3 linked regions of the Oryzias latipes genome follow. The protein of the gene in region 2 interacts with the protein of the main gene of each other region in a pairwise test. Links are inferred from orthologs where the notes say so. Each region holds a gene or a part of one and is shown on either strand. Other genes may lie near its edges.

Region 1 (3,654 bases), on a different chromosome or scaffold from region 2:
TCTGTACCACTTACTTCATTATTTCAAGCATTTTTTTTAAATCTGAGGTTGGGGTTTTTTTTTCAGGTGGAATTGTCACATAATACAATAAAAGTCAACATTTCTCACTTTGTAATTTGATGTGTTTATTCAACTCTGATCCAGTTTTCAAGCAATTTCCTGTAGAGGAAAAAAGAAGCGACTGGACTGACGGCAGACTGACGTGCACCCCAGCGTGTGGCCGTCTGCCGTCCCAGCAGCTGCTTTTCCATCGTGTGGCACAGTGATACCCCTGCTACCCCGACACTCAGGAGGATCTGATGTTTGACAGGACAAAATATTCTGTATGATCGCGTTATATTGGTACAGCCAGAACAAAGCACTTACACTGGACAGGTACAGTGAAAATAAATAGCATCTTTTTGGTTACAAATGCATAATAAATAGAAAAATATTTACCTCTCCATCATATTGATGACTAATTGCACAGAAACCATACAGACCACTGAGTTGGGAGTTAGAGGATTTTTATCTCTGGATGTTTTTTTGTAAATATTTTCACTAAATGGGAAAAGAAACCAGGACATTCTTGACGTTTTCACAAAAACGACTTTTCGACTGAGTTGAAATCTGAACAGAAAGTTTGGCTGAAGTAGCTGTAGTTACATAACCAGTACCTGGTTCCCGTCTGGCTGCTGGGTATGAGCCGATCAGGGTTTCACGTGCAGAGTGCACCGTACTATTCTGAGAGCAAACTCCAGCTTAACTTAATGAGACTAACGCACAAACCCATCACAGCTGAGCTCCTTGGCGCTCAAGCCTCTTCAAACTTCAGAGTCAAAATCATTTAGTGAGAAAACTCCGCCTCCTGAAGACAACTTTAGAGCAAGGAGGAAATTAAAGCAAAAAACCCAGCAGCATGACTCCACATTTCTATGGTCAATTCCTGGAAAAATGCCACGAGTACAACACCAGTTGTGAAAAAACACAATGAAGTGCTGCACCGTTTCCCATCATTCCACAGTTGGCTCCACCTCTCACAGCATGGGGCTGCTCTTTATTTGTAGGTGCGTCCTTTTTCTATGTTTCAATAATGCAGGCAGCAGATGTGAGCTCAGCAGCTGCATTACCGAGTAAGATTTCAGAAATCCTTCAGTGTGTGGATCACTGATGATTCCTTTCTTTCAGGAGTTCTCAACCTTTTCATGAACTTTGACCCAGAAATCCTCCTTACCCAATTTCCCCTGCTAGCTACCTTTTTCCAGTAGTTGGCGCCCCGCCTCTGTACTTGATAATACAATGGCTTTAAGGATGCCCACCCACATCTATAGGATGAAAACATTTGTGTCACAGAGTGAAAACACTGTTACGGTCTTAAACATGTGGCTGCACAGGATCAGGACAGCGGTTTTCCATAAGGAATGGGGGCGTTTCCATGCATGGGTTTTCTCACTGCGTCGTTTTCAGCAGCCCCTCAGGTTCGGACAGAGCGCAGTACAGCGTGTACCCCAGCTCGTCTACTTCCTGCTCAGTTAGCTCACAAAACAAGTTAACTTTGGGGCTTAGGGCGCAGGGGAGCCTCCCAGCCTCTAGGTGTCCCACTAGAGCCCGCAGGAGCTGAAGGAAGCGGTCGGCTAGCGCTTCCTGGGTCCAGTCCCCCTCCTTCTCACTCAGCAGTAGGATGGCGTTGGTGAGCTGGCTGGAGTTGAGCCGGTGGAGGGCAGGGTGGAGCTTGCACACGGCCTTTGCCACTTTCAGGCAGGTGGAGCGGCAGCCTCCGTCCTCCTGATCCAGAGCCCGGAGGCGCGCCGTCTCAGCCACGCGGAAGCTCTGCCGCCACAGGTTTTCGTGGCGCTCTGCAGCGAGCCGGTGTGGTTTGGCAATTAGCGAGGTTCCATCCCCCATCACCAGCAAAGGCAGGAAGTCCACGTACAGAGTCCGGTCCGTCTCGTACTGGACCTCCAGGGTCAAAGTCTCAGAGGGAACCACGGGACGGATGATGTAGTCCAGGACACTCCCTATAGCCGGCCAGTTGATGGAGCCCACGAGCTTATCAAAGACTTCAAGGACAGATTTAGGGGAGAGGTAACCTCCGACCATGCAGCGGTCCCAGTAGCTGCTATTCCTCGGAAAATATTCCAGGTTTTCCCTGCGGACGAGCCAGAAACCCGGGACGTTCATGATCGTGTCCTCTCCTGGGATAGACGACCACAAATTCTTCTCCAAGACGAGAGGCACCATCAGCTGGGCGTGGTCCGCTGTCACCACCTGAGAGGACAATAAAGTTTCAATCCCAACCAAATGAGGGAAATGATGGAGAAGTGAAGCGAGTGCAGACCTGGAGGTCGTCGTACAGGCTTCCACTGAGGTACATCTCTCTGAGCGGCATGTCGGGCAGCTTGGCGTGAAGGAACACTCTCAGCTCCGCACAGATGTCCAGCGCCGCCCTCCTGGCTACCGTCTGCTCCTCTGCCGGGATGTTGACGTGCTTTTGGTAGAACTCCCACAGACGCTCCTGCAGGGACAGGCGCATGCGAGCTCGCTGCAGGTCCGACTGACAGGCGCCACTTCCTCCAACTGCAGAGCGACCCACAGCTCTGCGCAAACGGTCTGACGACACAAACACAAGTTTGGTGGAAAACAGCAACGTCCTGAGGTGACTCCTCAGGGGTTTTGGCCTTGAAGCTTTAGAAGCTGTTTTTTTTTCCACTTAAAATTTATTTAATATATAATGTCCTGATTAAAACAGTCATTATGGTTAAAAAAGTAACCATAATGACCTCTGAAACAAAAAAAAGTTAACATCTGACAGAAAATGGAGTACAAGTCAAAGTTTGACATTTCATATTTGCACCATTGGATGTTTTGCTGATCAAACTTTGTTTATAGATCACTTTAAAGAGTGTAAGAAGCCGCTGAGCCCAACGCCTCATTTTTGCAGCGTCCTTTGGGCTGTCAGGTACGTTCATGGAAAAATACGATGCTTCAACTGTTCATTTTACTGATGAAAAATTTCTTATAACCACATAATAAACATACAAATCTCAGTCCTGTTAGAACAGCTGTGACTATCTGCTCTATTGTCAATACGGTGCATTTTAATTGGTTTTATTTTTTTTTTTAAAAAGGTTTTTTTTTTTTATCTTCATGCAACAAAAAACGTTAAAAAAAATACATTTTGAAAATCAGTGTAACTATTTACAGTCGTTATGACAAACTATTATTTTAAAATCTAATGATTTGACTGAAAATTTAAAGAAAACCAACAATGAAAAAAATATATAAGCTGCAGCCCTCATTTTTGCAGGAGAAAAAGCTCCATAGTCTTATGTGAAGCTATGTTCAGATCGCCCTCGGCAACGCGTATTCAAGCCATCACTTCCAATGACAAATCTATACCTTCATACGTAGCTATGCAAGTTTCTAAGACAGTTTTTTTTTTTTTGAGCTCTTTGTACAAAACGTGCGTGCATTGAATGAGTGTTGAACTTGAATCAATCAGGAACTCGGATTTTGTAATGATATGCGGATGACGTGGCTGCACGGTGGCGTAGTGGTTAGCGCTCTTGCCTCACAGCAAGAATGCCTCCGGTCCAAGTCCCGGCTGGGGGACCTCAAACAGAACATCAATGGGGGACCTTTCTGTTTGGAGTTTGCATGTTCTCCCCGTGCATG
Region 2 (3,213 bases):
AAGCCTGACATCCATGAAGAACGCGGGCAGGAGGCTCCGCCTTTGTTCATACAGACACGTAACGTTACGCAAACAAAACATGTAGTGATATTCATGGAAATCTAACGGTGCACGTTCATGTTTGGTGTTACAGAGTGAAGGAGAACAGTAACAACCCCCCCCCCCCAACACAAAATCCTCCGGCGGGCGTCTATGTCGCGCACTCAAGAACGCACCCAGCTTGTAATGGAAATGAATACAATGGAAATTAATGATTAGAACGCAGTAAATTTGTCGTATTTCCTCGCGAGAAGGAAATTTCTGTTGTAGAATGAGGATGTGTGTGCTGCTGAAACCTCATGTGTGTGTGTGTGTGTGTGTGTGTGTGTGTGTGTGTGAGTAGAGTGAGCGCGTGCAGCGTAGAGGGAGTGAAGGAAAACAGAAATGAAAGGTTCCCCCCAGAAACCCTTGAAGTCTGAACACAGGACTAGAAAAAGTAAATTATCAGCAAAGATGAACGTGTTTAATTATAGTTCCAATCATCATATGCAGAACTTTCAGAAAAAAAATAATAAAAACTTTCAAATTAAAAAAAGGTGCTGTGATGAGGTCATCACCGCGGTGATGAGGTTATCGTCACACCCCTACCTGAGACCTTTGTAGACGCCAACAGCAATGCAAACGCAGCAGCTTAGTTTGGTCAGAATGTGGTGAAAAGTCCGTCTTCTGCCTGTCAGGTGAGCTTTCCTGCGGCTCCTGCGTTTGCCTTGTCGTCTGTTTTCCATGTCTTTGTTTGGCTGTCATGCTGTTTCCTGTGTTTCTGCACGTTTTGATGGTTTGTTTCTGTTCTTTCTCCTCCACCGCTTTCCCTCGAACCCTCAGATTTAGAGACCTCAGTGGACAGTCGCTGCACTACGGACAGTGCCGACAGTGCCTTTTTTGGCCGCCGTTATTGATCGCCGGCTTCCCCCTTTCTATCAGTTCCCTCCCCGGGTCGTCCTCTTCGGTCCTGCTTCAGCCCGGAAGTAAGCTTTGTGATCAGACTGCAGGACAAACGGGAGAAAGATGCTTTTCTTTCCCTTCTGTCGTGTTGAAGTTCTGATCCATCCCTTCTGTGAATGTTCTGGCTGAGCTGCACCAACAGAGGTTCTCCTCTGTAGAGAGTCTGTGTTGGGACTGCATGTTGGCACCAGGGGGGCTGCAGCACTAAATGAGCTGCTGAGCTGAGACGGCCGTCCTGCCGTCATGCGGCGTCGGCTCATTCGGGAGCACGACGTGGTTTAAAGAAGCAAAACCAACATTTCGTTTCCGTGAGGCCCTTCTCACCTGTCCTCATTACCGTTTTAGGCTCTCTGTTGGTGTTTATGTCTGCAAGTATTACTGATATTTTATTCAGAGATGGTCTCCAGACGCCTCATTTGTGTTCGTGTGTTGTGTGTTTTTGGGTTTCCTTGTATGTACGACTCTGAAATGAGCCTAATTAAAATCCAAATAAGGTTGGCTCATAATTGAAAGTTAATGGGAAGCAGTTGCATGCGCATAAATGACTCAGAAACCCTTCAAACATGCAGCATTCATATTCTGAGCAGAGTCTCAGGTGTTCATGCAGCTCTGGAACGTCCGCCACAAAAACAGAGTTTATTAGAAGGAGCTGCATTTCCAGAAGAAACAGCAGGGTTGATGCTATACTGCTGAATGAAAATGAAACTTAAAGAATAACATTTGTCAAAAAACAAAAAAAGAGTAAATAAATAAATGATCAAAGTTGATCATAAATAAAGTGAAAACAGCACAATAACAAAAAAATATTTGTGAAAAATGCCAGAGCCGGGTATCGAACCAGCGAGCTTCTGCTCCAAGGATTCCCCTTTATTTCAATGGAGGCAGAAATCCTGGAATATCTGGAAAAGTTCAAGGATTTGAAGGAGCAAAAATCACAGCTGGAAAAAGATGAAATAGCTGAACATTTGAATAGTTGAATGGTTAAAATAGATGAAAAATTGTAGAAAGATACTAGAATAAAGAAAGAGAAGTCTGTGGGAGGAAGTGGAATTAAAAATGATGAAACTCTAGCAAAAATGTTTCTAGATTTCAGCAAAAAGCCGGAGTCCAAAGACCAGATTGTTTGAATGAGGGTAATATTTCCAAATAACGCCTTTTCGCTGCCTTGTTGCTGCTTCCCTGCAGGTTTTCCCTCGGTATCACGGAACAGAGAAGCCTATCAGTCCATCGACCAGCAGGACGAGTCGTCCAGCCCACCAAACCCCTTCAACCAGGCCCAGGACACCACCCGACCAGGAGTCCGCACGTACTGAGCGCCGCCGGACGCCAACCGCGCAGCCTTCTCTCTGACTTTATATGCAGCGACGGGCGACGAATGTGTGCAAAACCCCACAAATCCTTCTGGTGAATAAATACTTGGGGTGAACTCTTCATCTTCCAGTGAATGTCGTGTTTTCAGGAGGAAATCTGAACCTCCTGCTGCTCGTCTGCTGTTACCAACGCGATTCCAGTCAAGCTGTCAAGTAGATTATTTTTTACGTGGCATTTACAGACGGTTACAGACAGTTCTGTGAGTTATAGTCGTACCTTTTTGCAGTATTTTATGACTATTTTGCAGAAACTCTTTGCTTTAACAAACTGAAATAAATGTTTGACCGAAAACTCAGCGTTTGGGGTTTGAATCCTTGGACCAGAACGGAAACACTTCAGTAATGTTGATGCTGCACAAACACATCTGCCGCTCTGCACATCCCAACACAGAAACACTCCATTTCCCAGCGTGCTTAGCGTCTCAGCGAATAACTCATCCGTTTTTCTCAATGGAGCCGTTTGACAACATTTACGGCTTTTATTCTGTGAAACCTGGAGATTCCTGCTTTTCGTTTTGGTTTTTCTTTCTTTTATTATTTTTCAAAACAAATGTTTATATTTTGAGTAAATGATTTGGCTTAGATATTCTTTATTTACTACATTTTTGACATTTCTCTCTTTCCAAAACTCCGACATGACGGCGGTTTTTGATAATGTAACCTTTAAACCTTTATGAAGATCATTTAGGATTTGATCTAGTTTGAATTTAGCAGTTTTTAGGATGTTTGCAGCTCTCATTATTCTGTTGGTTTAAAACATTTTTGACATTTTAAAAAAAATCATATTTTAGCCTTTTTTAAACCAAATTTGAGTGTAAATTATCTTCACCTTTTTAGAGTTTTTTTTTAAGGCAGATGTAGA
Region 3 (3,754 bases), on a different chromosome or scaffold from region 2:
TTCCACAAAAGTTAAGACACTTTTTGACTTTGATGGAAATTAAACATTTATTAAGTTAACAAATGTATAAACTTCTTCTTTTGTGTTTTTTTTTAAAGATACCACCTTTTACAATCAATTTATTGTTAATTAATTATACAAGTATGTGCCTCTAGCACATTTTAATAAAAAGAAATTCAACCTAATTTTTTTTTTTCTGATCACTTATCAACAGATCTATATGTAAAGCTAAACAACAATAAAGGAAGTAATTGCTATTCAATTGTGGTCTTGTTTTTGTTTTTTTAGCAATTTCCTATTGATGGGTGGCTAGAAACCCCCTGTCTAATATAGAGGAGAACCGCAGGCACTTTTTGTTTATGTATTTATATAACTGCATTGTAACATGGTATTATTGTGGAACCCAGACTTCACAAACATACAGAGATCTAAGCCTCAGCTGTCATCTGCTGCACAGGCTGCTGTCACACTGCTATTATGGGAACAGCCATGCGGCTTTAGCCAGCGGCTGAAAGAAGTACACCTCATGGCTTCCTGACAGCGTAACATCACCAACCTTTACAGACTCGGAGCCAAATGTGGGAAACGTTTGCGGTAACTGTGGAGTGGTGAGCCACAGCAGCAGCAGCAGCAGCAGCAGAAGGAGAAGCGTCACCATCATCCATGCAGGAAATGTGAAGGAAATCACGTTCCCCAATGCACATGTGGTAACATACAAGAGTAACTCCCATCCAGATCTACACGTATTAAAAAAAAACACCTCTTTCCTCATGATACCGTTGATGGATTTGTTTTGTGTGTGAGTGTGCGTATATCTAGATATAAACACACACACACGCACATTAGGTATGCACAATAAATAGCAAATTTATCGTTATTGCAATATCAAGCTGGGCAATGTCCATATTGAAAAGGTTGGTGAAAATTGCAATAAATGGTTACCTTAAATGAGCTAAAACAATCTTATGACAGCTTTAAGCATTTAATGAATCAAATAAATCCCTTTATGCATTTGACCAATAAGATGGAGTCCTTTTATGCCCGTCTCCTATGTAGACTAAGGTCCTTAATAATAATAATAATAATAATAATAATAATAATAATAATAACAGTAATAACAATAATAATAACAACAATAACAATAATAATAATGATAATATAGTGATAATCACAGACACATTGGGCCTGCAGTCGGGTCTGGCAGCCAATGCATTTATAATAATAATAATTAGTTTTTCTTTTCTCACAGAAACACTAAAAAAAAAAAAAAAAAAAAAAATATCCAAAAAAAAAAAATTAAAAATAATAACAACACATAATGTCACAAAAATGTATTTAAAAAACACCCATAAGAATCACAATAAAATTACATTTTTTTAAAAAAAGTCTCAAAGAACATGTTGCACAGAATAAAACAGATAAGTCTACAAGAGAAGCTTATGGTGAATTAAATTAATGAGATAAATATGTGGACTATATAATTTTTTGATGAAAAAAAGAAAGAAAAAAAAGTACAACAAAAGGCCTTAATCATAAAACTAATTATTAAAAAAATCTATATTATCTTGTCAAAGCTTCAGCGGCTAGCCCCAAAGCTACACTTCTGCTTCATGCTAACGTAACGGAAGTAGCCCTTTCTAAACCCAAAATTAAATACTTTTTTGTCTCTTACGTCAACTCTAACCATTTTGGTATTTTTTCCCACGATGGCCACTCCATAAGTTTTGCACAAGTACAGCAGCCAGAGAATAGCCGCCATTAATGAGGCACGTCAGCACGCTGACTGACCACCAAGGGTTACTTTCTGCGTGGAACCAGTTGGAAATTAAAACGCTAGTTTCCCTTTGCACAGCAACCAGGTGGAAATAAAGACATCTATTTTGCATGTACAATAATAATAATGCATGCTTCGGTGCAAAGAACTCACCAGCAGCTATCGAAGGGTTTCTGCTGCTGCTGCTCTCCACTCCGAGGCTGTCGAACTTAGGCAGGACGATCCTGGCGACTCGAATCAAACGTACCCCTCGAGTTATATAACACAGATGCGAAGAGGGTAGTTGTTTTGCCGTGAAATGGCTCTTTAATAGCAGGAGTTGCAGGTCTGTGAGCAGTCCTTAGCCTGCAGCAGACGCTGCGGCTGGTAGACCTTAATCCAGTTTGTCTGACACCACGAGGTCAACCCCTTATTTACTAACTTTACGTAGCTGCCAGAGCCCTTTATTGACGCAACCTACTCCACCACCGAGATCCGGCAAACGATAAAGAAAAGGGAATAAAAATGATTCATTCATCTGAAGTATTTACCACATTTTGTAAATAGGTCCTTTCTGTTATTTTTTTAAAAAACAATAGCACCCTCTTTAGGACTGCAGAGAGGGAAAATCGTGTTGCAGATTGGTTCAACCGTAGTTCTAAACAGCTCTGGTTTGCTTCTCTGGGACGTTCTTCGTCTGTTTACAGGAGGAGCTAAACCCTCGGAGAGGCGGGGTCACGTTGCTTCACGAGATAAACAAAGCTTTTTAACGGACTCTCAAAAGCTGAAAGGGCTTTTCAGGAACTGCTCTTAAAATAAAGGCAATAACATTGGTGAGAGCAGGAATTATTTTAGACAAATAAACATAAAAATATATATATTTCATGACCTTGGCAGAGCTACAGTAAAAGCAAACGACCTTCTGCTGCCATCTGCTGGTGGAAGAGTGACAGTGCATGACGTTTGCCTTGTTTTTGTCTCTAGCCCGCCAGATCTCAGCGACGAGTGTTGCCCAAATCTTTCTGATGTGTGTGTCCATCTGGACATTTGTCAGTAAGTGAAGATCAGTTACCTTTTGGTAACTTGAGAAGAAACTGACAGCTAAAATAAAGGTGAAAAATAATTATGTTTGTATTGGTAATCCAATTCAAATTAAGCCTCTTAGGCTGCAATTATAAGAAAATTATAATCTACAGTTTTTAAAAGCAAACAGTTTTTACAATGTACATGTGTACAGCTTTCTGAGCTGGACAATGGTTTTAAAGCGTTTCTCTGCAGTTGAAGCTTATTGACAGTAGAGGGCGCAAAAGACCTCTACTGCCGCGTGTTTAGTCATGAATCAGGATGGTAACATATTCTACACTGACTTTACTTCTTTACAAAAGTAATTATGTTCTGTGTAAATAAATTGAGTGGTATAAATATATGTTAACAATAATTGCTTGGTGCTTTATTAATTTAAAGTAAATTGTTTGGCACAAAAACTCCTAATTAATCAGGTCTTCATTTCTACTACAAAAAAAACCCCAATACTTTTCTAGTAAGTCTACATGTGTTAAATGCAAGTGTTTGCATAAAAGAGGGGGATAGAATATTAAATGGTTCACATAAAGATCTCATTTTGACTTCTTCTTCTTCTGGCCAGAACTTCTCATGAATCACGTCCTTTCTCTTCAACCAGGTCCGGACACTGCTGCTCTTGTGGATAGGTGTGATTTGAATAACAAATAACCCTCATGCAAACATGGCAATTGTTGTGGAAAAGGAACAGAATCAGCATCACCAAGGGTCACCAAAGCCAGGATGAAAATCAATTTGACACACAACACATAAAGGTGGACAAGAACACCAAACACGAGCACAAGTATTTCACAAAATTCTTCTTTTTTTATAGGATCAATCCAAATAAATATACAGGCTAGCAAACCTTTAAAGAACTGTACATGCACATAGTTGAGCAGAAGATCTCATTAAGGTGGGTGATCTTAAAGGGTTAGTTAG

The links.
Region 1: the proteins of agtrap (region 2) and mief1 interact in binary tests that used the Homo sapiens proteins (3 or more experiments, as listed by UniProt). The two-hybrid records come from large-scale screens. The link is inferred for Oryzias latipes from reciprocal best matches to the Homo sapiens genes AGTRAP and MIEF1.
Region 3: the proteins of agtrap (region 2) and coq8a interact in binary tests that used the Homo sapiens proteins (3 or more experiments, as listed by UniProt). The two-hybrid records come from large-scale screens. The link is inferred for Oryzias latipes from reciprocal best matches to the Homo sapiens genes AGTRAP and COQ8A.

The regions. Positions count from the first base shown.
Region 1 is NC_019866.2:18,852,468-18,856,121, forward strand, and holds the end of mief1 (mitochondrial dynamics protein MID51), read right to left. Parts: intron 2,590-3,654; coding exon 2,318-2,589; intron 2,248-2,317; coding exon 1,429-2,247; 3' UTR 109-1,428; downstream 1-108. UniProt on the Homo sapiens protein: Mitochondrial outer membrane protein which regulates mitochondrial fission/fusion dynamics.
Region 2 is NC_019863.2:32,256,374-32,259,586, reverse strand, and holds the end of agtrap (type-1 angiotensin II receptor-associated protein), read left to right. Parts: intron 1-861; exon of another isoform or gene 862-1,004; intron 1,005-2,166; coding exon 2,167-2,294; 3' UTR 2,295-2,647; downstream 2,648-3,213. UniProt on the Homo sapiens protein: Appears to be a negative regulator of type-1 angiotensin II receptor-mediated signaling by regulating receptor internalization as well as mechanism of receptor desensitization such as phosphorylation.
Region 3 is NC_019882.2:16,026,191-16,029,944, forward strand, and holds the start of coq8a (atypical kinase COQ8A, mitochondrial), read right to left. Parts: upstream 2,315-3,754; 5' UTR 1,928-2,314; intron 1-1,927. UniProt on the Homo sapiens protein: Atypical kinase involved in the biosynthesis of coenzyme Q, also named ubiquinone, an essential lipid-soluble electron transporter for aerobic cellular respiration.